Linked DNA regions of Struthio camelus. The protein of the gene in region 2 interacts with the protein of the main gene of each other region in a biochemical or structural test. Links are inferred from orthologs where the notes say so. Each region holds a gene or a part of one and is shown on either strand. Other genes may lie near its edges. The genes, in order: TNS2, ERBB3, SH2D1A and ABL2.

Region 1 (7,103 bases), about 1.0 Mb from region 2:
GTGATGTGGCCAACGCTCACCTGGCTTCCAGAGCATGTGCTCACGAGGCAACTGTCACCCTTTTTTTGGGGAGAGGGGAGGAGGAGAGACCTGCGTGCTTCCTTGCCTCTCTCCCACCAGAGCCACTGGCAGATCTCTTCCTGGTGTCACCTTCGTGCTGCTGAGAGGCTGCAGTGGCTGCTGATTAGTTATTTCAGTGACTTGGAGTTTTTTAGCTAGTTCAAGAAAACGTGACATCAAGGGGACGGCACGTACTGTAGGCAGGATATAGAGACTGTGCTTCAAATTCTGCCCCAAGAGCAGAGCTGGACTCCCACCGCAGTGTTGCTGTAGGTCTCGGTGCCGCAGGGGCTCTACTCAGAGATACTTAGTGCTAAATCACACCGGGGAGGGAGACAGCAGCCTGCTCCCACCCCTCCGCTGTCAGGACAAGTTCACTCATTGCATTTTACACGTTCTGAAGATAACATGTAAAATTTGTACAAAATATCTTCTATGAAAATGATTTGTAATCTGTAGTGGACTTCCTGGGAGATGTCTTTTATTATGTAAACCCCCCCACCTTGATTTGTTTTTGGGTTTTTTTTGTTTGTTTGTTTCCTCCAATAAAACTAATCTTTAAAATACCCTTTAATGCCCAAATCATTTGCAAGTCTCTTGCTCTGGTGCCGCTTGGCAGCGGGCTGGGCCCAAGCTCTCGACTCGCTCCTCTCCCAGAAGCAGAACCTCAGAGCTTCCTTTTAAGTCCCTTTACCCTGTCCTAAAGGAAGGTTCACTGGGCCCTGCAGGTGGCAGGTCCCTTGTCTCTGCCTGTGTCAGCACTGATTTCTTGCTGCCACCAGAGGGTGGCCTTAATCCAGCCTGGCCTGTCCCTAACCCTCCCTCTGCTCCTTGCAGATCCTGCCAGGATCCGGCCGCAGGCCTCTGCCGGTAGCAGCTCCCGGGCTCTGGTTAAGGAAGGCGACTCCGGCAAACCCACCTGGGCCAGAGAAGGGTCTTGGCAGCCAGGTCTGGCATCACGAGCAGCTTTGGTGCAAGCTAAGTAACATCCTTTTCTCCTCCAGGGCTGGTGGTGCCACCTCAGTCCTGGAAGTAATCCTCAACCGAAGGCCTGGATGCGGGACAGGCTCTGCCCTCCTGCCTCCCAAAAGGGATGTTGATCCAAAACATCCCCAAAGCCTTCTGGCAGCAGGCAGGAGAGAAGCGGAGGAGGAACCCAGCAGCCACTGTGTAAGATGCTCTGTGCAGAGAGCCCCAAATGCCAGCTCTGATCTCCTCTCCGTGGCACCGAGCCCGTCATCCTTCAGCAAGCAGCTCCCTGCAGACCGGTGAGATTCGTTAGCAGCTCCTCTGGGCGCGTTTCTGGTCTGTGCTTGCTCCTGCCAGAAATACCCCTGTAGACCGTGGTGTTTCTTCTGCTCCTCCTGGGCTGGGCGAAGATCACAGGCGTCACTGGTCCTCTCCCCTCCCGGGCGCCTGCATCTGCTCCTCTCCGCCAGCCCTGAGCGGGTTGACTTGTCTCCCAGTCAGCTGCTGCCTCTCGCTGCTGTCTCCTCCTCTCTCCGCTGATACGTTCCCACGCTGAGCCCAAACCGCCCCGTCTCCTTGTGAGCTCCACAACGTCCCTATGACCGGTTGGGACTTTGAGCTCTGGAGTGGCCGTGCTAAGCCAGCGCTTGGGTGCAGAGCACCCAGGGGCTCTAGTGCGCGGGGAGACTTGTCTCGCCTGGTTAACGGGCCTGCTTTTAAGCGAATGCTTAATTAACCCTGCTAGTGTGGTCGGCGCTCGCAGGGAGCAGAGGGAAATGAGCTATTTGATGCGATCCTATTTACGAAGGGTGCTCCGTTTAAACCTGCGGTTTAGCTGGTTCCTGACTGTGCTGGCTGCAACTATATAAAGCCGCTCAGTGTCTAGCGCGGGAGGGAGTCGCTCGCGGCAGTTCCTGCGGCGCGACCGCGGAGCCTCCCCCGTGCAGGCTCCCGCCGCTTGTTTGCGTTTCCGTGCGCTAATCGTGCTCTGAAAGGTCCTTCTGGGTGCTGCCGGGACAGGCCCAGGCTTGGGGGCCTCTGCCGGGCTCCTGTCTGCGCCTTCGCCCTGCGGCTGTTTATCTCGAGGCTGCTTGCGCCGGGCCCCGCATCAGCTCCTACCCCCTTGTGCAAACCTCTCCGCCTCCGCTTGGCTGAGCCGCGATCCCAGCAGCTGATCTCATTCCTGGCTCCCTGCTCAAAAACTTGATGGGATTAAGTACCTGTATCCGGCCTCTGTCTGGGCTTCCTATCTATAAGCTGGAGATGATAAGCCTGGGAAGATGGAGGTGGCTCCAGCTACTCCAGCAGTCGCGCTTTCTTGCTCTTTCTTGCTCAGAGCGCAAAACTGCAGCCGGAGCTGGTGTCGGTGCAGGACCTACCCCAGCCGGGCTCTCTGTGTGCTCCCCGGGCTGGAAACCGTCCCTGGGGCCGCTGCCTCCCTCCTTGCGCTGCTGCCCTTGCAGGAGAACACGGCCCGCCTTGTGGGCTCTGTTTCTTTAAAAAAAAAAAAAAAAAAAACCAAAAAAACACACACACCTTGGGCCCGATTTCAGATCGTGTTTTTGCAGAAGAAACCAACACTATCTGGGCCTTCGCGGCGTGTACAATCGAGGCTCTGTGTTCGCTCCTGGGGCTTGGACGGCTGCTGTGATGTTGGGGCCAAGTCTCATTCCAGCCTGCCCCGTTTGCCGTCGGGCTGGCCGGGGGCGGGAGGGCCCCGAACAGGGCTCTCTCTTCATGGGGTAACTCGTCCCGGCTAGCAAGGTAGCGGAGGTGGGGGGAGCGCCGGCGCGGGCTTTTGGGGCCGGGACGGGGTGCACCCGCTGCCTCTCCCGGCCCTGAGCTTTCCGGCCACGGGGGAAGTTTTGCCCGGTGGCCGTAGCGGAGCAGAGCTCCGGGCTCCGCTCCAAGGAGGCTTTGAGGAGCAGGAGAGGTGAACAGCCTTTGGGTTGAGGGTTTGATGAGTGCAAGAGCCACCGAGGAGGAGGAGGAGGGTGCCGAAGCAGGCAGGGAGCTGCCTGCTTCCCCCCCTCCCCATCTCCCTGGCTTTCCAGCTAGGCTGGAAAGACAGACCCGGAGGGCCAAGTCTAACCGAGGCCGGGGTGCAAAGAGGCGCAGGGACGAGAGGGCGAACGGGCTGGCGGTGGCAGAGCTGCAGAGAAGCAGCTTTTCCCAGGCGCGGGGCGAGAGAGGTGTGTGCATCTCTAAAGGCCTTTTTGGTTGGCGTCGGGTGCCCCTGAGAGGTTTGGGGTCACGCGAGTGCCCAGGCACCGGCTCCTCGGCCGAAGCAGCTCGCGGTTGGAAACCTGGAGCAGGTTCTCTCCAGGTAGGAAACTCGGGCCGCGGCACGCCGGGAGGCGACGACGCTGCTCCGAGCCGCCCAGGAGAGGGGTTTGCTGGCAAACCGTCCGCCCCGCGTCTCCGTCCCGCTGGCCACCTCCTTGGGCTTTGCCAGCTGCTCGGAGATGCTCGAGGACGTCAGGGTGCCGGGGAGCATCCCTGCATCTCAGGCTGTCGCTAGCCCCCCGACGAAGGGGAAACCCCCATCCTGCCTGGTGCATCCTCCAGCATCCTCGTTTTGGGGATGTCTTCGGTCAAGGTGCCCATCGCAGCGGGGTGGGGGGGGGACACCCAGGAGCCACCTGAGCCAGGGGACGGGGACCGGGATGCCCTTACTCGGCCACCCGCAAGCAAGCAGCCCCCCGCGGCGCCGGCAGGGCATCTCCCGCCGCGGAAGCACGGCCGAGCCGAAAAGTGTTTCCGATTATCCCCGCTCGGGCTTCCTCCCTCTCCGAAATCCCGGGCTCCGTTGGCCCGGGCTCTGCCCCCCTCCGCGGTGCGGCCCCTGCCGGCCCCAACACCTGCGCCCCGGGGACCGCGGGGCTGGCACCGCTCCGGGTGCCCTGGCAGAGGAAGAAGAGGAGGAGGAGGCCGCCGGAGGAGGTGGAGTTTTTACCGCGGTTTCCAAGATCCTCGAGAAGAAGGAGGCAAAAAAAAAAAAAAAAAAGCGCTCGGAAGGAGGGAAAAGAAGGGGAAAAAATAATAAACTGCAGGAGGCGGCGGCGGCGGTGGCGGCGGCGGCGGGAGGAACCCATGGGCCGGGGAGGAGGCGCCCGGTGCTGGGCACGGCCCTGCTGCGCTCTGCCCGCCGGGCGCCAGGGCGCGGGGACGCGACGGCCGCCCAAGGTGTGTTACCCCGCGGGGCGAGGAGGACCCGAGGGTGCCGGGGCGGGGGGGGGTGCCCCAGCCGCAGCCCCGGGTGGCAGACGAGGCCCGGAGAGCCGGGCCACCCTGGTTCGGCTGGCTGCAGCCCTGAGGCCAGGGGGATGGTCGCCCTCCTGCCGCCAGCCGGAGGAGGGATGTCAGTGGAGGTGAGGGGAGGGGGAAGAGCCGAGCTCTTCCCCCCCCCCTCCACCTCCCAGCTGTGATTTCGGCAAGGCCGATCTCACGGCGAGAGCCGGAACCAGGAAGAGCCGGCCGGGAGCGAGGCTGGCTGCTGCGCAGCTGGGCCGAGGCCCGGACGCCTGGGTCCTCCCGCTTCCTCCCTCCTCGCTTCCCTGCTCCGTGCCTCGGTTTCCCCGGCTCTGTCTGCTCGCGCTGCCTGGCGAGGGGGTGCCGGGCAGCTCCGCAGCCCCCGGCCCCATGCCCAGGGCCACCTCCTCCCCAGGACATGGTGGGGAAAGGGGAAATTCCCCCAGGAAAGCTGAGAGCGGGTGCAGCTATCGCAGCCCTGCGTCCCAAACCCAGGGCCTCCGTCCCACACCCTGTCCCTGCATCCTAAACCCCATCCCTCCACCCCAGCCCTCCGTCCCATATCCTGTTCCTCCATCCCATACCCCAACTGTCCATCCCAAACCCATCCTTCCACCCCCAACCCCATCCCTCCCTCATACCCTGTCCCTGCATCCCAAACCCCATCCCTCCACCCTATCCCTCCATCCCATGTCCTCTTCCTCCATCCCTAACCATCTCCCTTCATCCCATTCCCCATCCTTCCATCCCAAACCTTCCATCCATCCCATCCTTCTATCCCTAACCCCACCCCTCCATCTCATACCCTCTCCCTACATCCTAAACCTCATGCCTCTACTCCATCCCTCCATCCCATACCCTCTCCCCGCATCCCAAACCCCATCCCTCCATCCCATTCCCTCTCCCCACATCCCAAACCCCATCCCTCCATCCCATTCCCTCTCCCCGCATCCCAAACCCCATCCCTCCATCCCATACCCTCTCCCCGCATCCCAAACCCCATCCCTCCATCCCATTCCCTCTCCCCGCATCCTAAACCCCATCCCTCCACTCCATCCCTCCGTCCTGTACCCCATCCCTCGACCCCGTACCCCATCCCGCACCCCATCCCTCCATCCCTCCCTGGGGCGAGGACTCTGCAGGGCAGCCCCAGGGTCCCAGCTGCCCCCACCAGGAGTCTCAGCCCACCCATCACCCCCTGCCACCCCGAGGCGGGACGCCAGGGGGATGGGCTCCGCACCTGGCCCTCCTCTCCCCCAGGGCCGCCCCGCAGGGCACCTAGCCGCGGCTGCGCCTGGCTCCGGGCCCTTCCCCTGCGGCCACCGGAACCCAGCAGTCACCGTCCCCTTCACGCCGCCTGCCCGCCCGCCGGCCCTTACGGGAAGCCCTTCCCCAGCCGCCTCCTTCCTAGAGTCCAGGCGTCCCCGCACATGCGGCTCGTCCCCCCGCAGAGCCTCTTCCCGCCGGGACACCCCGGCGCGGGGCCCGTCCTCCCGCCACCCGCGCGCCGGGCTGAGCCCCAGCAAACTCAGCCCGCTGGTTCCACGGGGTCCGCTGCCAGCTTTGACGGGCACTTGGCGGGGGAACAGGAGGGTCACAGCTCCGGGCGGCACTGCCCGGCCCCGGCCCGGGCGCAGGCTGCCAGGGACGGCGGAGCTATAGGGCCGGCGCCGTACGGCCAGCCGGGAGCGGGTGCTTACTGGGCCAAGTGGGTGAGAAACAGGGCTGTACAGGCCAATGTGGGTCTGTCACTGTGCTATATGGCCCAGGGCCCTAGGGAGCTATATGGTGCCTATAGAGCCCAGGCTGGATGGTGCAGGGCTGTAGGGAGCCCTATGGCACCTATAGAGCCCAAGCTGGATGACTCAGGGCCGTAGGGAGCCCTATGGCACCTATAGAGCCCAGGCTGGATGACTCAGGGCTGTAGGGTGCCATATGGCACCTATAGAGCCCAGGTTGGATGGCGCAGGGCCGTAGGGTGCCATATGGCACCTATAGAGCCCAGGCTGGATGGCGCAGGGCCGTAGGGTGCCATATGGCACCTATAGAGCCCAGGTTGGATGGCGCAGGGCCGTAGGGTGCCGTATGGCACTTATAGAGCCCAGGCTGGATGGCGCAGGCTGGGGGACCCCGTCCCCCTCGCTGGCGGCAGCCCCTCGCCCCCGTCCGTGCCCCCCCTCCGTTAACCCCGTCCTGCCTGGGGCCGCAGGGGTTAACGGGCCGCCGGTGACCCCCGGGGCGGCGGCAGGAGGGGCCGGGAGCGGGAGGGAGGGAAGGAGGGAGGGAGGGAAGGAGGGAGAAGGGGGGAAGGAGGAGGAGGAGGAGGAAGCAGCGGCAGCCTCGCCGCTCGGCGCCCGGCCCGCCGGGCCGCACCGGGGGGTCCCGCTGCCATGAAGGTATGAGCGGGGGCTCCAGGCCAGACGCCTGGGTCCCTCAGCCCCACCGCTGCCCCCGGCTCCCACGGGTGTTTTTGGTGGGGGGGGGGATTCCGAGCCTGGGGAGTGATGGGGATGGGTGGGGAAACTGAGGCACGGGCGGAGGTGGGGGCGGGGGAGGGGGGGAGCGAAGGCTCCCTGGGCGGCCGGCGGCGAAACGGAGGCAGCGGCGCCATCAGTGTCACGACAGCGCGCGGCCTCAGCCGGCCGCCGAGCGGAGCGGGGCGGCGCGGCCTCACCCCCCCCCCCCCCCCCGCCGTGGCGGCCCCCACCGCGGCCTCGGCGCACGGGAAGCGGCTATTGTGTGTGCGGAAACCGGGGCTGGCCCGGCCGCCCGCCCCCGGGGTCGGCCCGCCCGCCCGGGTGCCGCCGCGCTCCGCTCCCGCT
Region 2 (7,814 bases):
CAGGAGCTATTTTCATCGGGGAAGGGGCTATAAAAAGGTCCCAGCTGCCTCGCGGGCTGCGGGAGGGTGGACGGGCTCGGCCCAGCCCCGACGCCCTGGGGATGGGCACAGCTGGGAGAGCACCGAGTTGGGGCGCTGGGAAATCCCAGAGGCACCGGGGGGCAAAGGGAGGGTGGGGGGAGCTGGGACCGGATGCCTGGGCCCCGAGCCATGCGGGGGGGGGGGGCAGGGAGCAGAGCGGGGCCGGCGCGGGGCAGCGGGACCCCGGGAATCCCGTGGGCAGCAGTGCGGCCGGGAACAAGTGGCACTTTGAGACGACGCCGGTGAATCATTAACCGCGGCACAAAAGGCCTCGCGGGCCGGATCCAGGGGCCCCGGGCCGCCCCGCTGCTGGGGAAACTGAGGCACGGGGGGGGTGGGGGGGGGCCAGGCGTCTGGGGCCGTGGCAGCCCCTGGGCTGCACCTGCCTCCGGCGGCCCCTGGGCCCCCGGCGTGCGGCGTCGCCCGGCCGGGCGTTATCAGCGCGGGGCCCCGCTGGCAGCTCCGGCACGCCGCCGCTATCTGCCGCATGCCAGCGCGCCGCCCGCGAGGCCCCGCGCCACCGCCGCCAGGAGGGCCCAGGCGTCCGGGCCCCCCCTCTCCTGCTCCGGGAAGGCTGGGGGGGAGAAGCGGGTCCCCGACCCGCCGGCTCTCGGCGGCACAAAGGGGGTCTGTGTGCGCGGGGCGGCCGCTGCCGCGGGGCCGGATCCCGGCCCCGAACAAAGGGGCACAGAGCTGGCGCCGGGCACCGGCCCCAGCCGGCCCCGCACGGGGACGGGGACCGGGGCGGGGGGACGGGCTGGGAGGTGGCGGAGCAGGGCTGCCCCCGCGGGCCGGGCACCTGCAGCTCCCGGGGCAGGAGCTCCCCGCGGCCCCCGGGCACGCCAACCCCGTGCACACCGGTCTCTAGCCCCCGTGTGAGCTGGCCCCGGGTGCGCCAACCCCGTGCACGCTCGTCCCCGGCCCTGGTGCGAGCTGGCCCCGGGCGCGCCAACCCCGTGCACGCTCGTCCCCGGCCCTGGTGCGAGTCCGTCCCGGGCACGCCAACCCCGTGCACGCTCGTCCCCGGCCCTGGTGCGAGCTGGCCCCGGGCACGCCAACCCCGTGCACGCTCGTCCCCGGCCCTGGTGCGAGCTGGCCCCGGGCGCGCCAACCCCGTGCACGCTCGTCCCCGGCCCTGGTGCGAGCTGGCCCCGGGCGCGCCAACCCCGTGCACGCTCGTCCCCGGCCCTGGTGCGAGTCCGTCCCGGGCACGCCAACCCCGTGCACGCTCGTCCCCGGCCCTGGTGCGAGCTGGCCCCGGGCACGCCAACCCCGTGCACGCTCGTCCCCGGCCCTGGTGCGAGCTGGCCCCGGGCGCGCCAACCCCGTGCACGCTCGTCCCCGGCCCTGGTGCGAGCTGGCCCCGGGCGCGCCAACCCCGTGCACGCTCGTCCCCGGCCCTGGTGCGAGTCCGTCCCGGGCACGCCAACCCCGTGCACGCTCGTCCCCGGCCCTGGTGCGAGCCCGTCCCGGGCACGCCAACCCCGTGCACGCTCGTCCCCGGCCCTGGTGCGAGTCTGTCCCGGGCACGCCAACCCCGTGCACGCTCGTCCCCGGCCCTGGTGCGAGCTGGCCCCGGGCGCGCCAACCCCGTGCACGCTCGTCCCCGGCCCTGGTGCGAGCTGGCCCCGGGCGCGCCAACCCCGTGCACGCTCGTCCCCGGCCCCCGTGCGAGCCCGTCCCGGGCTGCCATGCAAACCCGCCCCCTGCGATGCAGCCCCCGGCCCCCGTGCAAGCCAACCGCCGCGCACCCTGGCCCCCCGTGCACGCTGGCCCCCCGTGCATCGCTGGCGGCACGCGGCCGGGCCCTGGCGCACCGAGGTGCCGGCGACGGGGCCCTGTTTATTCCTCCCTTTCTCCCCTTCCCGAAACCGCCGCGCCCAGCAACGCGGATGACACAGGTTTCACACCCGTGCAGACACACACACACACGCACGGCGCGTTCGCACCACTGACGTGCGCCCGGCTCCACCTTCACGTCCAGCCCTCGGTGTTTTCATTTTGGGGCTGAAAAACAACTCCTGGGAGGCGCTTTCCTTCCGGGACCGTCCCCCCCCCTCCTCACTCCCCGACTCCGCTTTCTCCCGCCTTTCGCCTCCCCGCGACGGCGGGGCCGAGGCGAGATGCCCCCGTCGCGCCACCCGCCGCCCCGCAGCCCGGACGGGGCGGGCAGCGCCGGCCGGGGGGCAGCGCCGGCCGGGGGGGCCCGAGGGTCTCACGCTCCGGATTCCTGGTGGCCCGGGCGGCCCCGGAGCCTAAAATTAGCCGGCAGCTGCGGGGAGCACAGGTGCTGCTGCCGGGAGGGCGTCGAGCCCCCGGCCCCGGCTCGGCCCCCCCCCCGGTTTTCACACCCCCCCCTTCCCGCGCAGCCCCCGGGAGGGAGCCCCTCGGTCGTGGCGCCGGGGCGCAGCCGTCCTGGGCAAGGGGGGAGCCGCCGCCGCCGCCGCCGGTGCCAGCCCGGTGGGACTCCCCCCCCCGGCCCCGTCCTCGTCCCACCCCGGGAGCGTCGGGGGCACCGGGGGGCCCGACCGTCCCCGCGCTCCCGGTCCCCCCCCTCGGGGCATCCCGGCGCCTCCGCGCAGCCCCGGCGCGCCGAGCGCTGCCGCTGCCCCCCCGCAGCCCCGGTAACGTCGGGGGCACCGGAGCCGCCGTCCGTCCCTGCAGCCGCGCGAGCGCTGCCGCTGCCCCCGGAGCGGCCCGGCCGGGGCCGGGGCCGGTGCTCACCTGCCTGCGCGGAGCCGGCGGCCGGGCCGCAGAGCAGCAGCAGCGCCCAGGACAGGGCGCCGGGCGAGCGGGGCCGGAACCGGGAGCGGGATCGGGACCGGGAGCGGGATCGGGACCGGGAGCGAGACCGGGAGCGGGATGGGGCCATGTCGGCGGCTGGGAGCGGAGCCCGGCGGGCTGCGGCGTGCCCGGGCGCGGCGGGGGGAATGCACCTGGCGCGGGGCCGGGCCGGGGCGGAGCGGGGCCGGGGCCGGGGCCGGGGCTGGGGCCGGGGCGGAGCGCAGCGGCGGCCCCCGGGGCGCCCCGGCCGCGCCCGCCCCGCCCCGCCGCCCCCTCGAGGGACCCAGGCGTCCGGCACCGCGCTCGGCGCTGCGCCCGCCCCGACGGGGCGAAACCTGGTCCCGCCGCGGCTCCCTCTGGGCTGGGGGGGGGGGGGGGCGGACTTGGCCCCCGCTGCAGCCCCTCGACCTCATCCAACCCCCTTCCCCCCCCCCAAGGATAAACCAGCCCCACCGCAGCCCCCTGGCCCCCTCGGGTCCCCCCACAGTGAAGCCTGGCCCCACTGCAGCCCCTCACACCCATCTGGCCCCCCAGGACCAACCTGGCCCCGCTGCAGCCCCTCAACCCCATCCGGCCCCCCAGGACCAACCTGGCCCCGCTGCAGCCCCTCAACCCCATCCAGCCCCCCAGGAGGAGCCTGGCCCCCTCAGGCCCCCCCACAGTGAAGCCTGGCCCCACTGCAGCCCCTCACACCCAATCAGCCCCCCAGGACCAACCTGGCCCCACTGCAGCCCTCCAACCCCATCCAGCCCCCCAGGACCAACCTGGCCCCACTGCAGCCCTCCAACCCCATCCAGCCCCCCAGGAGGAGCCTGGCCCCCTCAGGCCCCCCCACAGTGAAGCCTGGCCCCACTGCAGCCCCTCAACCCCATCCGGCCCCCCAGGACCAACCTGGCCCCTATCCAGCCCCCTAGCCACCTCGGGTCCCCCCACAGTGAAGCCTGGCCCCACTGCAGCCCCTCAACCCCATCCGGCCCCCCAGGACCAACCTGGCCCCACTGCAGCCCCCCCCACCCTCTCCTGCCTCCCACAGCCGAGATCTGGCCCCACTGCAGCCCCTCTGTCCCATCTAGCCCCCCAGGACACAGCTTGGCCTCACTGCAGCCCTCCAGCCCCTCACGCCCCCCAGGACAAACCCAGCCCCCCACCAGCCAGGGTCTTGCCCCCCCCCCCCAATAGGATTTGGGGCAGCCCCAGCCACCGCAGCCCCCGAGAGCTCAGGGACAGCCAGCGCCCTGCTCCAAGCAGCCCCCTAGACGAGGGACGCCCCAGAGGAGTGGGGCTGGGTGGGAGTTCCCCCCCCAGCTCAGACACGCAGGTGCGTGCACACACGCACACCTTCCCCCTCCCGCTGCCAACGGGCCGGGCGGCCCCGGCGAGCGCCAGCGGGGCAAAGAGCACCGGCACCTGCCTGTTGGACCAGGAAAACGAACCAGCCGCCGCTCGCGGGAACGCCCAGCGCAGGCCCTGGGCACAGGCAGCCGCCCCCGCCCCACAGCGGCCCCCCGTGGGGACAGGGACCCCCTTGCAAGAACGGGGCTGGGATGTCCCGCCATGCACGGATCCACCCCGGCCGCCAGCCCCACACACGCTCAGCCCGGCTCAGTGTGGAGTCCTTTATTGAGACTGTTTTCAGAAACGTTTTCAGCCGGAATCTCTTTACATGGGCTTGGGGGGAGGTCGCGGGGCAGCACCCTGCAAAGAGAAAGGGAGAGCGTTGGCGAGATTCGGGGGCAGAAAGTCCCCAGCAGACCAGGCAGAGCCACCCTCCGTGGGGCTGCCCCACAGCCGGAACAGCGTCCCCGATACGTACGGCGGGTCTGAACCTGGGCGGGGGGGTCCGGTCCTTGCGGGCCTCCCGGGAGCGGTTCCTCACCACCTTGCTGTGGATGGCGCAGCTGACGCAGTAATGGAGCTTCACGTACAGCTTGGGCAGCACGTAGGCTGGGGGGGGGGGGGGAGAGCGGGGTCAGGGGGAACCGCACGGGATCTCCGCCGGCGCAGACGGACCCCCAGCACTGGGGCCAGGCGAAGGGTTTGAGCTCTTTGCCCCACAGATCTGTCCCCCCCGCGTTGCGGTGCGCTCTGCTGTTCATCCCCAAAAGCCTGGGGCAAAACACGTCCCCTCCGCATCCCCGCGCGGGGGGTCGGCAGGCCATGGAGCACAGCAACGGCAGCGCAGCAGGTCACGGCTCCTCAGCGCTCCGTTAACCTCCTGCTCCTTTCCGAGCCAGCGCTACCCTGGGAGTCGGGAGCGCTGGGGGTCTGTCCCCACGTGAACGGCCGGCGGTACCCCCGCGGCTCGCGCGCGGAAGGCGACCAAGTTGCCTCCAGCCGCCTCCTACCGCCGCAGTGACCGAGGTCACTCCAGGCAACGGGAGCAGGATCACCCCTGAATCAACGGGAACCCAAGGCACCCACCCGCGGACCCCCTCGCGCCCTGGCCCTTACAGTCGAAGACGCTGGCCTCAGAGATGTCTCTGACTGCCGCGGCCTCGACAATGTTCCTGATGACAAACTTCTTGATCGCTTTGTCCTTGGGGACGCAGCGGGCGCAGTTGGTGCATCGGATGGGCTGCACGTGCCCACGGCCCTTCTTGGCCCGCCCGTTGTTCCTTCTCTTCTTCGTCTGGTGAGGAGAAGGCAGAGAGCGACGAATGAAGCCAAGGCGCGCTCCCAAGAGCGAGGCCCCTGTCTCCAGGCCGCAGGCCCCCAACCCTGAAGGACCCTCATCGCCTCAAGCCCTCCGCTGGGGATGCCTCACCCAGGATCCAGCCCCACCACAGACCCCTTTGGGGCTCCCCATCCCCTCCCCAACACCACCAGCTGCCCCAAACATCCCCATCACCCCCACCTATGCTGCCTCTGGCCTCCCCTAAACATCCTAAAAGCCCCATATGGGCTCCTCTCAACCCAGACACCACCCAAATGCCCCCCCCCCACCCAGAGGGCCTCCCGATTGCACCAGACGGGCTCCCTCGTACCCCCCTGCCCCCACATCGGCTCTCACAGTCTCCTATAGCCTCCTTCTGCCCCCCATGGCCCCACATCGGCTCTCAGTCTCCTATAGCCTCCCTCTGCCCCACATGGCCCCACATCGGCCCCCACCATCCCCTATAGCCTCCTTCTGCCCCCCATGGCCCCACATAGGCCCTCACCATCCCCTATAGCCTCCCTCTGCCCCACATCGGCCCTCACCGTCCCCTATAGCCTCCCTCTGCCCCCCATGGCCCCACATCGGCCCTCACCATCCCCTATAGCCTCCTTCTGCCCCCCTCACCCCACATCGGCCCTCACCGTCCCCTATAGCCTCCTTCTGCCCCCCACGGCCCCACATCGGCCCTCACCGTCCCCTATAGCCTCCCTCTGCCCCCCATGGCCCCACATCGGCCCTCACCGTCCCCTATAGCCTCCCTCTGCCCCCCATGGCCCCACATCAGCCCTCACCGTCCCCTATAGCCTCCCTCTGCCCCCCATGGCCCCACATCAGCCCTCACCGTCCCCTATAGCCTCCCTCTGCCCCCCTCGCCCCACATCGGCCCTCACCGTCCCCTATAGCCTCCCTCTGGCCCCCCCCGCCCCACATCGGCCCTCACCGTCCCCTATAGCCTCCCTCTGGCCCCCCCGCCCCCCATCGGCCCTCACCGTCCCCTATAGCCTCCCTCTGCCCCCCTCGCCCCCCATCGGCCCTCACCGTCCCCTATAGCCTCCCTCTGCCCCCCCATCGTCCCTCACCGTCCCCTATAGCCTCCCTCTGCCCCCCCATCGTCCCTCACCGTCCCCTATAGCCTCCCTCTGCCCCCCCATCGTCCCTCACCGTCCCCTATAGCCTCCCTCTGCCCCCCCATCGTCCCTCACCGTCCCCTATAGCCTCCCTCTGGCCCCCCATCGTCCCTCACCGTCCCCTATAGCCTCCCTCTGGCCCCCCCCGCCCCACATCGTCCCTCATAGCCCCCCACAGCCTTCTTCTGCCCCATGCCGCCCTACATAGGCCCTCACAGTTCCCCCCAGCCTCCCTCTGCCCCACATCGGCTCCCCCAGACCAGCCTCCCCCGATACCCAGAGACTTCCGGTACCCCCCCGGCCCCCGAGCAGGCCCCCCCGGCCCCCGCGGGCGGCGCTAAGGGCCCCCCGGACCCCCCAAACCCCCCGGGCCGCGCCGCCGCTCACCATCTTGGAGCCGAAAGAGGATCCGGCCCCCGCGCCGCCGCCCTTATATACCGCTCCTCCGCCCCGGAAGTGCCTCCGCCGCAGCCCCCCCCGGTCCCGCCGCTCCCTGCCGGCCCCGGACAGCCCCAGAGGGCCCCTGCGGCCGGCTCGGGGCGGCGGAGGCGGCGGTCGGTGGCTCCGCCGCGGCGGGGGGGGGGGGAGGAGGGGAACTACTTTTCCTTCGCGCCGCGCCCGCGCGGCGGAGCGATTCTACGCAACGTGCGGCGCGAGGCGTCTAGACGCGCACGCGCACCGCGGGCCACGTGCGGCCGCCCCGGCGCCGCGGGGCACGCTGGGAAATGTAGTCCTGGGCCGGGGGGCCTCCGAGCGGGCCGCGGGCGTCCTGCTCCCCCCGCAAAATCCCGAGAGACCCCCCCCAAAATCCGGCGGAGACCCTCTGAGCACCCCCTTAAAACCCCGGTGGGGGAGACCTCCAGCGTCCTGCCCCCCAAACGCTTGGGGAGGGACCCCCCCAGCGCCCCCCCACCCAAAATCGGGGGGGGGGAATACCCTGCCCCCCCAAATCCTAAGGGGGCCCATTGCCCTCCCCCCTCAAAATTCCCGGGGCCCCCCAGTGCCTTCCCTCCCCCCCACCCAAACCCTTGGGGAGGGACCCAGGCGTCCGGCCCCCCCATCCCTGGGGGGGGGGGAGACCCCCAGGCCCCCTCGGGAAGAAAACAGGGGCATTAAATTACTCATGTTTATTTATAACAGACCTTCAGCCAGTACAGTACAAAACT
Region 3 (7,117 bases), on a different chromosome or scaffold from region 2:
AGAAGTCGCTTTGTCTTGTGTTTCTAGGTTGATTTATCCATTAAGGACACTCACCCCACAACCTGTCTGCTGTGTGCACAGCCCTGTGCCCCGGGGAGGCCAGAGGACCTGCACAGCCTTAAGAGCAAAGTGACCAAGTCATTGGGCAAACAAGATACAAGCTGCATCAAATCTTGCTTGAGAAATCCAGCTGGTCTCTTAACGAATTGTGACTTTAAAACAAGCGTTTCAAACGAGTGAGTGGCAGTGATGACAGAGGCCGTGGAAACTGGGTAAACCTTCGATTAGTGATCACGGTAAGAGCAAGGGTTCGGCGAGTATGGTAAGAGTATACGAGCCATTGCCTGTTGTAATGCTGTATAAGCGCTCTGTGGTTTAAATGAGAGTGAATTTTACTCTTTAGCGCGTGCCAGGGAACGAGTAAATGGCTGGGGACGCCGTGGCTATGTCAACATCCGTTCAACCACCGGATGGCATTTCAAACAGCAAATCTCACTCTATTTGCACTTCCTGAATGAATTGCTCTAGGAGATGAAGCTGGCCAGTCTTGGCTGTTAGTGGATCCCGTTCGCCGTGGCCTGACGGCGAGATCGGGAGCGGAGGCGATGCAGGCGTTACAGGCGAGAGCCTTGTAACGATAGCAGTCGCTCCCCGGGACCGAGTTTTGTTTGCTCTCGACGCTTGAGCAGGATCTGGCCGCTTCGCGCGTCTCCTGGAGCGCTTGGCTGCTGTGCGCGGGCGACGTCCCCGGCCGGGCGCCCGGCGCTCTGCTGGCTCCTCTCCCGCGCGCAGACGCTCGCCGCCGCGCGAAACACCCAGCGAGGTAACAGCTGTGAACGGGAGCCTGGGGACGAACATACCACCACGTGCCGCCGGCTCTCCCCCACTTCGGCGGCACCACGGGCAGGGCGCAGGAGGGAGGTTTGGGCACACAGAGCCAGGTTTTGGCAAAGAAGTGGGACCGAAACCTGTGGTGGGGAGGGTCTTCCGACTGCGTGTCTTGCTATTTGGCCTGCAGCGGGAGATGGAGGTGCCTAAATCGCTCTCTCCAATGAAAAACCTAAACCCAGCCTGCCACTGCTTGGCGTTCAGGTGCCTCCCTGTTAAAAAAAAAAAAAAAAAAAAAGACTTTCCTAATGATTCGATATTTAAGAATATTTTGAAAGTAGCCTCCTTGTGAGCCTGAGACTTACCACTGAGCCTGCTCTTCTCCCTGGCCACAGGGCTGGGAATTACGTGGCCTGCTGCTTGGTTTTAATTTTAGTCTGACGCTTGCTTTCTAAAAGGCACGTTCTTTTGTAAAAGCTTTGAATTCTCCCTCTTCTCCCACTCCGTCGCCCCTTAATCTCTTCCTGGCCCTCATCCCCCTTGGAAAAACCGCGGCGGCCTGCGCCGGTCCTTGCTGTTGCAGGGGTGACTCGCAAACGCGCTGCAAGCAGGCGACGCTGCCGGGCCGAGCAGGTTCCCCGTTTCGGCAAGACGGGGGCCGGGGCAGGCGGGGTGGCCCGCTGCGCGGCCGCCTGTGCAGCCGGGCCGGGACCGCGCCGCCATCGCCGCCGCGGCCGCTCGCTCATGGGAGAGGGAAAGCCGCGCCGACGCCGCGGGGGTTAGCGCCGAGCTTGCCCCCCGTTTAGCCCGGGGAAAGCAACAAATACAAAGCTGCAGCGCGAACCAAGGCGCGTCAGCGCGTTGTGGCGCGGCGCCGCCCCAGCCGCCCGCCCTATTTTTCCCTTTGTTTAATTGAAGCTCAGGAAGCGTAAACTGTGACGGTTCTGCAAAAAGGAAACGGCACCACAGGTGACTTCCTCAGCAGGAGCAATTATTATATGTTTATGTTTTTTGTTGCAGCCTGTGGCTGTCGGTGTGTAACTGACGTGCAGCGTTCGACCCGGCAGCGGCTGGCGGGGGTCGTGCGGCCCGGGGCAGGCGAAGGGGCAGGCGGCGTGGAGCCGGGCACCGCGCAGAGCCCTCTGCCCGCCGGGTTTCCTCTCGCCACGCCGCCCGCCCTCGTCGGAGGGCGAGGACGTAGTTGAGCGAGGCGGTCTGATACGAGTCAGACTCCCAAGCCGTTTGCGAGGTGGCTGAGGGGGGGAGCTGGGGCGTTGAGCCTGTTGATTCGCAAACTTATAACCCGGAAAGTTAACAGGTAAAGCCAAAAAAATAAAAAAGGCAACAGCTCGCGTGCGGTTGCCTGGGACGCCTGCCGCGCGTTGCCTGCGCCGCAGCGAGCAGCAGCTCCGACTGGAGCCGGCACCTTCTCCGCTGCAGCCAGCCCGAGCTGGTCGCTTCGGTAGCTGTTACGGGAGCAGCTGAGGAGGTGGCTTTCCTTCCCCACCAAATGTAACTGCAAAACGTCCTGCGCGGGGCTGCTCCGGCCGTGTCCGCCGGGAGCCGCCAGCCTCCTGGGCCCTGGGGCGTCTCGCTGGCCCGCGGGGAGGAAGCTGCTTCTCCTCCTCGGTTTCCTCCCTTGCTGCGGCAAAGGGAATAAACGCTGGTTCCTCCCCCTCGAACGGGGCCACGCAGCAATTTCTGTTCGGCCTGGGGAAATGGGGAAAGGCTCCGGCACCTCGGTACCCGCTTGGCCCCTTGGCTCAGACTAGTGCAAGCGTCTTTTACCACATTTCCTGCCTGGGTTTCGTTAAGGGTGGCACGTTACTGCAGAGTTTTCTAGTTTTGGTATTGATGAGCCTGTATTTTCAAAATAACTAAATAAATAAATAAATGACAAGAAAAGAAAAAGAGACAAAAGGTGGCGAGGGGCTGTGGGAGCCGCCTGACCTTGGGCGCGCGTGCCAGGCTCATGAAACGGTGTTTCAGAAGCACGAGGCGGTGAGGAACGCGGGCTCGGGTCTTAGCCCAGCAGAAAGGGCCGGGTCGTCGAGCGCGCGGCCCCGCCGGGCCGTGGCAGGCGCTCCCGGCGTGCCGCGCCGGAGGGTGCCCCGTGCCGCGGAAAGGCCAGGGAAGAGCCTGGAGAAGACTGAGCTGCAGACACCGTCCTCCCGAGGAAGCGCTAAGCCCTTTAGCGAGGTAGGATTGCGTCGCCTTGCCTGAGGCTCGTGCCGGGGGAAGGCTCTCGAGGTTCGATATCTGCGTATATTCGTGTTTGCAGAGCTAACAGCCCCGCGCTCCGCAGGAGCACTGTAAATATGAGCCTTTTCTCGTCACCAGCGCTTATCTTGATTTCAGAGCGCTCTGTGGCACCCGGAGTATTTAACAGGCGCCCGGACTTTGACTAATGGTTACAGATGCCCATAAGATAGCGAGATTAGCATCTCAGCTGTCTGATTAATATGTAAATGTACCCAGTTATGTGTGAGAGCTTTAAATGAAGTAACTCTCACTTCTGCCTCCATATATCAAAGGTGTGATTGATGGAAGAAGCACTGTAGGTACCTGCTGGAAAGCATAAAAGTTGTTTTTGTCTATATTTTTCCTTTTAAAAAAAAAAAAAAGTAGACCTAAAGCTGAGATTTCCTTAGGGAGAAGAAACAACCCAGTCTGAGTTTAATCTAAACTAATCCAAATTGTTGGCCACACTCCGGCAGTATCTGTAAATTCTCGGATAGAAATAATCCATCAGGATCTTGTACAACAATCCACATGGTATCTTAAATAAACCTTCTCTTTGGCTGTAGCTTGCAGCTGACATCTACTGTAAATTATTTGATGATATTTTATATGAAAGGCTCTGGGCTGAAATGTGTGTTGTGGGAAAGGAAGGAGGCCCCAGCCCGGTGGAAGATGTTCCTTTTCTTTGCTTCCCCAGTTACATTATGCAACGCAGCTCTATTTTGCAACCTGCCTTTCGGGGAAACGGTGTGTTTTCCTGGGCTGAACAGCTCAGTAAAATAGAAATCTAGAAGCATCAAGTGATTTGTGCACCGTAAAGGGCTACGGGCTCCCTGGGAGAGGGGGAAAGGCCGCGTGCGCGGGGACGTGGGCTCCAGCCTTGGAGCCGCAGTCGTCCCCAGTCGCAGCCAGGCCTGCTTCACCGGCGCAAGGGCAGCAGCTCCCGCCAAGTACCCTCGAGAGCTGCTGGGTCGGTGGCTTAGTCTAAACGCTTCCTCAGGCGACGGCAGCGGCGAAGAGGTGAGAGGCCCTTTGCTCCTGTTGTTCCTCCAGGCAAGGTGCTTCCTGCCAGGGCCGTGCTGCGACGAGGTGACGTACCTTTTCCTCGTTGGGAGGACAACCCTTGAAACGCCACCAGAGAACACCGCTGTGAGTCAGAGCCTTCTTTCATCCTGCCCCTGAAAACCACGGCGTATGTTTCAAAATCACTTTTTGGCAAAATAAAGACCATCGCGCTGAAACCGGTGCGGGGGGAAGTTTTGCAGTGGTAGTAAAATCCAGCAAGATGCTGCCAGCTAAGCATTATATAATGTCTGCTCTCTGGGATTTGAGCTGTAAAGCTCTCGACTGCTGCAAGACCTCACAAAGATAAAATGCGCTGCAGCGCCTTGCTGTCAAAGGAGCGCAGAACACTCAAATCCCGTTATCGCTCTCCTTTGCTTCAGCCTTCTCCCCCTCGCGGGGATTTCGGGGGCCCAGGGCACGCATCATTTTCATCTCCTCTGCGTCTCTGCGGAGGATTCACGATGTGCCATCCCCTTTGCGAGACGGCCCGGCTGCTAAGAGGCGAGCTGGTAGCCCTGCTGATTAATATGATTGCTCAGCAATTCTCATTATAATGCTGCCTTGCGTTGCTGTCTGCTTATAATGGTGTCTTGTAGCTTTATCAGAGCATAATTGCTTCATCCAAAATTTTCCATGCCTTTAGCTGTTTTTTTGTTTTTCAATGGTTAGACTTCTTCTTTTTTTTTTTTTTTTAAGAACAAGGATAGGGAAAGTATGAAGTTTAGTTATTAAAAATATTTGCTGACGTTCTCTTTGTAAGTGAAAACGTTGTTTTCATCGGGATACAATGGAAGGAGGAGCAACAGCCCAGAAACGCAGCAGGTCTTAATGCTGTCAGCAGTAAAACAAGCCACCACCGCCACTGCCCCACCGTGCCCCCAGCACTTGGTGCTCAGCCCTGAGGAAAAGGCATGCTCGGGCTGTGCTGCCGGCTGGGGCAGCCCACAATGCCACGTGGCCGCGAGCCAGCTGGGACGGTGGTGCTGGAGGTCACCACCATAAGAACGTGCGTCCCTGCATGAGCACCATGTGCATCTTTGCTCTCCAAAGTCTTTTTTCTACTTTAGTGGTAATTCTACTTGTGTAATTTTCCCCCTGTTTAAGTGCAGCAGCCTGGACACACATGCTGGCATTTTAAGGATATTTTTCTTATTTTCTTCCAGTTCCTCTAATGTAGGAGAATCACCTCCTTGTAGGCACTGACGTCAAGAATGGTTTATTGTATTCTGGGTGACGTATTAATTTAAGATAATCGTTGGGCAGATGTTTAAAGCTTCCAATGCAAATCAATGCAATTAAACATGAAATAATACTTCACAATTCGTACTGAGAAATACCTTTATCTGAGGCTAATGTTTCAGAATGAAATGTTCAGCAAGTTTGCTGATGATACTAAGCTGGGGGGAGAGGCTAACACACCAGAAGACTGTGCTGCCATTCAGAGGGACCTGGACAGGCTGGAGAGCTGGGCGGAGAGGAACCTCATGAAGTTCAACAAAGGCAAGTGCAAGGTCCTGCACCTAGGCAGGAATAATCCCATGCACCAGTACAGGCTGGGGGTTGACCTGTTGGAAAGTAGCTCTGCCGAGAAGGACCTGGGAGTGCTGGTGGACAACAAGTTAAACATGAGCCAGCAGCGTGCCCTTGTGGCCAAGAAGGCCAATGGTCTCCTGGGGTGCATTAGGCAGAGTGTTGCCAGCAGGTCGAGGGAGGTGATCCTGCCCCTCTACTCAGCCCTGGTGAGGCCTCACCTGGAGTACTGTGCCCAGTTCTGGGCTCCCCAGTCCAAGAGAGACATGGCACTCCTGGAGAGAGTCCAGCGGAGGGCTACCAAGATGATTAGAGGGCTGGAGCACCTCTCCTCTGAAGAAAGACTGCAAGAGCTGGGCCTGTTCAGCCTGGAGAAGAGAAGACTGAGAGGGGATCTCATCAACGTGTGCAAGTATCTGAAGGGGGAGTGTCAAGAGGATGAGGCCAATCTCTTCTCCGTGGTGCCCAGCAACAGGACAAGAGGCAACGGGCAGAAACTGAACCACAGGAAGTTCCACCTGAACCTGAGGAAAAACTTCTTCACTGTGAGGGTGACAGAGCATTGGAACAGGTTGCCCAGAGAGGCGGTGGAGTCTCCTTCGCTGGAGATATTCAAAAGCTGTCTGGACGTGATCCTGGGAAATATGCTCTAGGTGACCCTGCTTGAGCAGGGAGGTTGGACTAGATGATCTCCAGAGGTCCCTGCCAACCTAAACGATTCTGTGATTCTGTGATTCTGTTATAGCAGAACTGTTGAGTCTCTGTTAGGCGGGTGTGAGGCTGATGGGTTTTGACCTGGGATTATAATGGGGTCACTTCTCTCCCTTGAAGTCTCATGGGCTTTCCTGACTATTCTGTTCTGCTTGCTGTTTTTGTCATAAAACACAGCCCTTCCTGCAGTGCTGGTCAAGGCTGCTTCAGCAGGAATATTGTTTATTCCTTGGGATGTGTTTTTTGGAGCCTAGTGCACTCCAACGCCCAAGTTCCCCTGCTCCCATCCTTGTTAAGGGCGAATGGCTGCTGGAGGCCAGCCCAGAGCATGAGGCAAAGCGGGTGGCACGGTGCCGCTGGAGAGGACTCCTGTGAGCGGTGCTGACACGATGAGAGGCTGACCCGTACACCCTGGGGAGAGGTTTCTCTTGTTTCTCTGCATCAGCTGAAAGAGCTCTTGACGTCAATGTCTTTGCTCCAGATTTTCATCGCCTTCCTGCGGCACGTTTTCTACTTTGCCTTCTCTTCCCAAGTTTCTGTGAAAGGCAAATCAAATGGTCGTTTGGGTTCACTGCATGTTGGTCTGTGCTTCAGCTCGAAAATGCTTAAGCGTCCATCAAGTGGAAAAAAAGTCAAAAAGTATTCATCGTCAAGAGAGATTGGGTAGAAGTACAGTAAAGGATATAGCTTTCTTCTGAAAGAAAAAACTGGTGTCATTACCTTGGCACAATAATCCCAGGGG
Region 4 (7,515 bases), on a different chromosome or scaffold from region 2:
TATTACTAAAACGTGGAGAAATGAAAAGATGCCCTGAGTCAAGAAAATCCTAACTGTGTTTCTCTTAAGCAAGTACAGGGCCCCACCTGCTGTACCATACTTTCCACAGATGTCCTTTCTGTCCTTCATCGTACACTTGTCTTGTAAGAGCAAGAACATAATAGCCATCTTTGCTACCAAAACGCTAAAAGATGATGTCATTAGTGAGGGTATTCTAGCTGCTAAGTCATGCTTAGCAGTCTATACAGCAGTTTTGCTTGCCTACTAAAGACTTAGGCTTCAGCATACTGAAAAGAACCAGGGTAAGCGCATAACTGAGACCTGCTCCTAACGTTGTGAATTTACAGTATTATTCTGGCTTTCAGTAATGTTTCTGCCAACGTGCCTTACAAAAAAATGCAAATGCGGTGAAGACAAACATAGTAAAACATGGTGTTGATGACTCTACAGCTAAAAGACGAAATACAACAGTAATCCTTAGCTTTAATTGCAGTAATAGCAGGTCAGACATTTCAGCAACTGTGGATTTCTGTTTTGGTTTTGAAGTTGATAGTGCTCCCTGAACTCAAAAGCTGTGATAACAGTGAGAATTTAAGAACCAGATTTAGTGCTGCACTCTTGTTTTGATAGATACTTACGTGTCAGCAGTCACAGCAGATGATATTTACATTTGGGCTGCCGGCTGCATGTTCCTTAATCTTTTTGCCTGCGCTCATTCTATTGAGCGAAGAAAAACATGTATTGTCACGAGCAGCCTTGTTCTATAAACACTGACATCTCTCTCCACCTAAAACATGCCAAATCAATGATGCTCTCAATAGCCAAACCAGTTCTTTAGGATCAGAGATGCATCAGCCCAACACCTATTTTCAACATGGTTGCCAAGGCAGGCAGGTTTCAGTTTATTATACCTTCCCAAACTCACGCATTACAGCAAGAAGCTGCCAAAATAAAGATAATGAGTAGAAAGCATAGAAAAGTTATAAAAGAGAGGGGATATGAAGTTCTGGGCCCCTCCTGAGAGAGGTTAGAGAAACGAATCACGTTGCACTTAACGCATCTGGTGTCGCTTCACAGCATCGAGCAGGGGAACGGCCGGGCAAGAACTACCCCGGTGCGAGGGCAGCTCTAACGCTCCAGCCGAAACGCAGCCGCCTGCCCGGCCGAGGGCTGCGGGGGCTCGAGAGCGAGGAGGGCGAGTGACAAGCGCCTCAGCAAACAAGAGAGACAAAGATGAGCTTGCGAGCACACGCACCGCTGCTCTCTGCGCACCGAGCCGGGGGCTGGGCGCCGCTGCAATGACAGCCGTGGGCACCGGCGGGGGGGGGGGGGGGGGGGGGCGCTTTCCCTCCGCGGGGGCCGGGGCGAGGTCGGGGTCCGGGTCCGTCGCCGCGCCCGGCGCTCCCCTCCCCCCCGCCAAGGCCACAACAACAACAAAAGCCGGGTGGGGGTGGTGGTGGTTGGGGGGGGGGGGGGAGAGGAGGGCGCCGCGGCCCCCTTCCCCCCCCCCTCCTCCCGGGACCCCCCCCCCCCCCCCGCCCCGGCGCGGCCCCTCACCGTGCTGCGTGAAGATGTTGAAGCCGCCCTCGGCCGTGCGGCCGGCCGCCTCCCGCCTGCGGCCCGCCGGCCTGGCCGCGCTGCTCCCGCGCAGTCCCCGCGCCGCCGGCGGCGGCTGCTGCTGCTGTGGCGGCGGCGGCGGCGCCTGGAGCCCGGCGCCCGGCTCCCCGACGCGGCCCACCTGCTGCCCCATCGCCGCGCTGCCGGCCGCGGCCCGCGCTCACATGCCGCCGCCGCTGCCCGGCCCGGCCCGGCCCGGCCCGGCCCCCCCTCCCCGCTCCTCCCCCCTCCCCCCCTCCCCGGCGCGGCGGCTGCCGCCCGCCTCGCCTCGCCGCCGCCGCCGGGCGCTGCGGCCTGGGACTCACGGACTCGCCCCCTCAGCCCCCGCCGCCGCCATCTTAACCACAGAGAGCTCCGGCAGCGGGGACAGAGCGGCTCCCGCAGCCACCTCCGGTCCTCCCACCACCCCCCCCCCCGCCGCCCCCTCGCCATGGCCGCCGTCCCGCTGCCTCGGCGCGGCCGGGGGTCGCCTGCCTTGCGCAGCGTTTCCCGCTGGCGGGGGGAGCCGTGCGGGGCCGGCGGGGGCAGTGCCGTTCCCGTCCCTTCGCTGCCATGTGTCGCTGCGCGGCCGAGGCCCGAGGCGGCCGCTGCCCGGCTCGGCCGAGCCGCTTCCTTGGCGGGTTTAGGGACAAAATGCAGGTGTCTTTGCTGCCGCGCCAGCTTCCTCACGCGTGTCCCCGCCTAACCCCCCGCCCGCGAGAGGATGTCCCCCGCGGGTGGGGGTCTGCAGGTCGGGCCGTGAGGGCCCCCCCGAAGACCCCCGGCTTGGCCTAAAAACTGAACCGCGACAAGCCTGCCGCCGGCTCCGACCCGAGTTTCTGCCTTTCCTACAAGCAAAGAATGAGGAATCCAAGCAGAGACGAGGTTTTAACCCCCCGGGGCCGCTTTCCCACCTGCTGGAGCGGGTTGGACCCGGCCTTGCAGAAGGGGAAGCCGTGCGGCGACGCTGCAGCAGCCTTGGCGCCCGGGCCGGCTCTCTCCTGCGGCGGGCGCGCTTCGTGTTTCGCTGCTCGCCGGCCCCAGCCCTCGTGGTGACGGGAGCTTTGACCTGCTCTCCTTGCCTTCCTTGGGTTCTGGGAGGCGCAGCGGCACGAACAACGCCAGCGCGGCGGCCAGGTGCGGTTGGCGGCCGCCTCTGGTCATCAGGCGGCCGAACCGCGCGCTCTGTTCTGCAAGTCGTTGGCGTGCGGTTAAACTGCCTCCTTTCGGCTTCTCTCCTGCCAGCAGAAGGCTTTCCAATTCAAAGCAGAGGAGGGGAGGTTTCACCCTGGAAAATAAAAAATAAAATAAAATAAAAAAACCAAACCCATCGGTCGTGTGGCTGTTTAGAGGACTGAGATGTTTGGAAGTATTTCTCTCTCCAAGCTAACTACAATTTCAGCAATGCATTGGCAATGTTTGCTGCTTCAGGGATGAGCCACAGTGGCGCTCATCTCAGTACCCGCCACATCACTAAGAACTGACGTGACAATGACAAGTTGGCTCCATAACACTCGGAGCCAGCCAGCCTCCAAGGAGCCACAGCAAGCGGCGTCCCGCTTCCTTTGTGTGGGTGTTCTGGGGCGGGAAGGTCAGGGAATACTCTGTGTGCTCCATGAAAGTGAGCTTTTTTACGCAAAATCTTTAGCAACACTTTTAAGGTCATAGTCTGCCTTCTCAGGGTCAAGAGGTGCTACCAAAGTGCTCTCCATACTGACATAAACTCAAATTGTGCCCTGCTGCAACAGCAATTCAGCCTGAAAAGGGGGTGGTTCATCCCACTGGGCTGGTGTGTGCTCTGACGCAGCCTAGAATAAATAAGAGTGAGGCAGCGCATCGGAGCCAGAAATGCTTTAACTTACTAAACCAATGGACTAAGAACATGGTGGAGATCAGGAATTACCGACAGGCTTGCTAATAACACACGACAAAACTGTTCTTAAAATAGCACTGGGAATATCTGGGATGTTGCATGGGGGTACGTCCCGCCGAGTCCCAGGACCTAGCTTGGACGTGACTATGTGAATATGAACAGAGGGTTTCTCTGCAAGACTCTTCAAATGGACAGTCTCAAGCAGGGTTGGCCCACATGGGTAAACTCTACAGTGGAGATATTTCCTGGTCTCATTCCAGCCAGAATTTGCAGGGCTGGCACTTAAAATGGTTTGCCTTGTAAACAAAATGTACGTTCTCTGGAGACTGTAGAGAGACAACAAACGTAAAACTGCCTTGTGCCATTTACAGTTGCCTTGTAGGATAGAACAGCTCTTCAAAATAAACAGAAAGCATATTTTTCTTTCCTAATGCCTTTTATACACAGTTCCCAAAGAACTATCCAGAGGAAGGCCATTAGCGTTTTAAAAGAAGATGTCAATATCAAGAGACTGTTATACTTAAGTGTGCTAAAGAGAATTGAGTTTCTTGCTGTTCTTATTCCTCAGATCTCATGAAATCCCTCATTCTCCGTTTCAGTAGCTTGTGTGCGTGTAACAGCTCAGCGTGGATTACGTTAACGTTCGATCGCATGGAACTTCTCTGACCCACAGACGCATCTTACTGGGCGTGGAGTCAGGTAGGGGCTTGTGAAACGGCCTGTTGCAAGGGGAAGGGGGCTACAGAATGGTTACTGTCCGCTAGCGTATAATTGTACTTTTAAGACCATGCTGTACCTTATGTAGTTAGCTTCTAAATTGGTGCCCCAGCCGTTGCTGGTTGTGGACAATGCGCTGAACAAGCGGTGCCCTCAGAATGTATGGTCCTTGGTCCTCTCAACAACATCTTTTTAATGTTATCGTTTCTGGTGGCCCCACACAACAGCAGGCGATGTCGAGCCCTGGTTGAGGACCACTCTTCTAGATTGTCTGCTAGAAGAGCAATGGGGATATAAATGAGAAACTCCCCAAACTGAAAATTACTTCTTGCTACTGAGTCACTGATGACATTGAGTCACACCATTTCTTATCATTAAAATGGGGCTGATAATTATTTACTTCAGAGGGTGCCATGGTTATAAATTATGCGACGATTGCAAGGTGCTTTGAAGAGGTAAAATCTGTATCAATGCTGCCTGCTATTATCAGCTGTGATGTTACCCAGCTCATGTAGCGTTTGGAAGAGGTTGTTTCTCAAAAGGTAATGTCTTTTGAAGAGGTCTGGCGGCATGCATTTAACTAGGCATCCTAGCAGTTAGTGCCCTCCTGACAGTTTTGGGCTTCCAGTCAATCTGTTGTCTCATGAGCTGTTCGAATAAGGGATAAAAGGACCGAGGAACAAAGGCAGCATTGAGATTACAGTGATATGCCTGACCAAAAATGTGATATTTCTAGAATCACTTCTGAACTGACTTGAAATATTCTCCACATATGCATTTCTCAAAGTTTCTTGAGCAACTCCGCATCCACAGCATGTTCCAAAAATCACACTGTCAAATAATCACTGGCTGAGCAGTGTTACATGCTCCGCGTTACATGTCACGGACTCATTGCTGTCACTGTCACTTGCCTGAAGTGTGGTTTCTGTGCCAGAAGCAGCCTGTGGATAAATTGGAGACTCCTGAGCCTAAGCATTGAGTCAACGGGGCAGCTCCTGTTTGTAGCTCCCGAAAAATTAACTAGTGCTACTCTGTCAGTGGCTTTAAAATTAATTCTGGGAGTAACCTTTTCTCTTCTTCCAGCTCATATTCCTTCTGTGTATCAAAGCTACACAGAGAAACAGACTTCTGTTAAACATTTAGCTGGTCTTGAGGACACGGATGGCATTAAGTGACGTATTTGTAAAGTGCCCAAGACAACGCAGGCCTGGTCACAACTGAGGCATTCGAAGAATTCTCAAGAGTAAAGGATACTGTTACATGCACTTAACACGTCAGGATTTTTTGCTTTTATTGCAATTCCAGAACAAATCCTGGAAATCAGGGCCGTCTAATTCCCCTGGGATGTCTGCAAAGGCAGTGTGTAATGTCCACTAGATGGCCCCTGGCGTTGCTGCTCAACGTACCTGGAAACACTCCGGCCTTCCCCTGCGCAACACCAAGCAGCGCCTTCTTAGTCTTAAGCAAGGGGTCCTGGGGAAAGACATTAAAAAATGCATAGATATAGAAAGATTTTAAAATCTAGACCGATAATGGCTTTGTGACATAAGGTTAGTTACTGAGCTCTCCACTAAACTCTGAAAGCTTTTAATTGCTGAGCCGTTTCAAAGGAGACCGTCATTTCTGGATGAAACATGCACAAGCACTCACTGTTTCCTCTTTGTCTGTCTTTGACTGACAGCTCTTAAAATGTACTGTCTACATGAATCTGTCATGGCACAGTAGTTAGTGTTTCATTGTTGCCTTAAAAGTTATTTTTAATCATTGTTATGCTTTAAATGAGAATTTGTGTACAGTGCATGAAAGATAGCTTGCGGTACTCACATGCCTGTTTAGTGAGGGTCTGTAAGCATAAAAGCTTTCCCAGGAAGTAGGGTTTTCGAACAGATTTAGCCCAACAGCACAGAGAGGTTCACATGCAGCCCTTGACTGATGAAATTTCCTCCGTGAATAGCTGTTCTTTCTTCCACCATAGTTACAATGCAAACTCTCCGTACACATACACCCTTCCCCAAAAAGCTGTATCACACCATCTCAGCCCTTCTCCCGAAAATCCTTCCGCCTTTCTAATGAAAGGTGCTACCAACCTTTCGTTATCTCTTTGATGCTGCTTCAGCATAATCCTCTTTCAGGCCGCTCTCTTCCGACACAACCGACTACTACTTTTTAAACATTGACATGCGGGGTAGAGAAAGCGAATCTGGGGCTGTGCGTGGAGGAATGAAAGGGCCTAGTTGTACTACATTGTAGTGGGAAAAAATCAGTGTGACTGTGTGTAGCGAGCTCACTACAGCATGTCAGGTACCCTGATTCTTCATTGATTTGCTCCTGTAGTTTTGTGTTAGGTATACTATGTGAGTGTCCAGCCTCACTGTGTCATAACAGTGTGTAACTGGTCATTGTGTATTTATCCATCAACTGCAAGTAAGAAAGCATGAACTGCTCTGAGGTTTTGCATGAATTATACTCATTATGGTACCTCTTCATCTCTTCATAGCCTCCGCCAGAGCAGAACTAGAGTGGGGGAACATGGAATAAGCAGAATATAGGACTTCTTCAGTAGCTGTTTTCCTGTCTGATATGTTTGTCTGAGTACTGCAGCTGCACGCCCTTCCCAAGCATCTGTTTAAGGCACGAATGGTTGTAGAAGGGTATGCTAATGAGAGCATTAGGAAAGTTGTTTGTTTGCCTCTTTCTGCGGAAAATGATGCCTCTACCAAGCAAAAACGATGACAAGTCTCTGCATCTGCTGGGAATTGCAAATTAGTACTCAGCTTGCACAGTGTGATCACTGATAAAGTACATATGCTGAGGTAATATGAGGTCCCTCGACAGCACTGGTGATGATTCAGGCTTTTAGGCATTTGCCTCCAGGCGAGTCAATAGAAGTGGGTTTTTTTTTTGCTACCAGAGTTCCAGGGTTTCCTTAATTCCTGTTTAGGAGCCTAATTTTTTTGGTTCCTAGTTTGAAATTTTACTGGCTCATTGAACAGTGAGGGATCTCTAGTTTGCAGATGGAAGCTTTTCTTCTGGTGTTTTCTGCTTTTATCTCCCTGAAAGGTTTGCAGCCAGAAAGCTGACATTTAAGGTATAGTAAATGCTTTGGAGCACGGTACTATAGCGTGTATCTCCATCAATGCATCTGAGGCACAACTCATCCCGTCTTAGATTCCTCTGATGACTACTCTACTGCATTTGAATTCGAAAAAGCACCACGATAGTCCAAAACAAAATAAGGCTACATTAGTCAGAGCTAAAATATTCTTAGAGGAGTCTCTCAGAAAATTTGGTACGCTTCCCTCTGATTTCGGCTTATGCGCGAGTTTGTG

What was found.
Region 1: the proteins of ERBB3 (region 2) and TNS2 form a complex in vitro, tested with the Homo sapiens proteins (2 studies listed by BioGRID and IntAct, with this or other methods). The link is inferred for Struthio camelus from reciprocal best matches to the Homo sapiens genes ERBB3 and TNS2.
Region 3: the proteins of ERBB3 (region 2) and SH2D1A form a complex in vitro, tested with the Homo sapiens proteins (2 studies listed by BioGRID and IntAct, with this or other methods). The link is inferred for Struthio camelus from reciprocal best matches to the Homo sapiens genes ERBB3 and SH2D1A.
Region 4: the proteins of ERBB3 (region 2) and ABL2 form a complex in vitro, tested with the Homo sapiens proteins (2 studies listed by BioGRID and IntAct, with this or other methods). The link is inferred for Struthio camelus from reciprocal best matches to the Homo sapiens genes ERBB3 and ABL2.

The regions. Positions count from the first base shown.
Region 1 is NC_090969.1:1,672,029-1,679,131, reverse strand, and holds the start of TNS2 (tensin-2), read left to right. Parts: upstream 1-4,098; 5' UTR 4,099-4,122; coding exon 4,123-4,215; intron 4,216-6,571; exon of another isoform or gene 6,572-6,671; coding exon of another isoform or gene 6,672-6,677; intron 6,678-7,103. UniProt on the Homo sapiens protein: Tyrosine-protein phosphatase which regulates cell motility, proliferation and muscle-response to insulin. Phosphatase activity is mediated by binding to phosphatidylinositol-3,4,5-triphosphate (PtdIns(3,4,5)P3) via the SH2 domain.
Region 2 is NC_090969.1:622,570-630,383, forward strand, and holds the start of ERBB3 (receptor tyrosine-protein kinase erbB-3), read right to left. Parts: upstream 3,017-7,814; 5' UTR 2,954-3,016; coding exon 2,806-2,953; intron 1-2,805. Other genes in the region: RPS26 (small ribosomal subunit protein eS26), read right to left, coding at 4,525-4,560, 4,679-4,809, 5,317-5,601, 6,803-6,842. UniProt on the Homo sapiens protein: Tyrosine-protein kinase that plays an essential role as cell surface receptor for neuregulins.
Region 3 is NC_090952.1:10,915,864-10,922,980, reverse strand, and holds the start of SH2D1A (SH2 domain-containing protein 1A), read left to right. Parts: upstream 1-4,107; 5' UTR 4,108-4,218; intron 4,219-7,117.
Region 4 is NC_090949.1:6,364,065-6,371,579, forward strand, and holds the start of ABL2 (tyrosine-protein kinase ABL2), read right to left. Parts: upstream 3,018-7,515; 5' UTR 2,050-3,017; coding exon 1,923-2,049; intron 1-1,922. UniProt on the Homo sapiens protein: Non-receptor tyrosine-protein kinase that plays an ABL1-overlapping role in key processes linked to cell growth and survival such as cytoskeleton remodeling in response to extracellular stimuli, cell motility and adhesion and receptor endocytosis.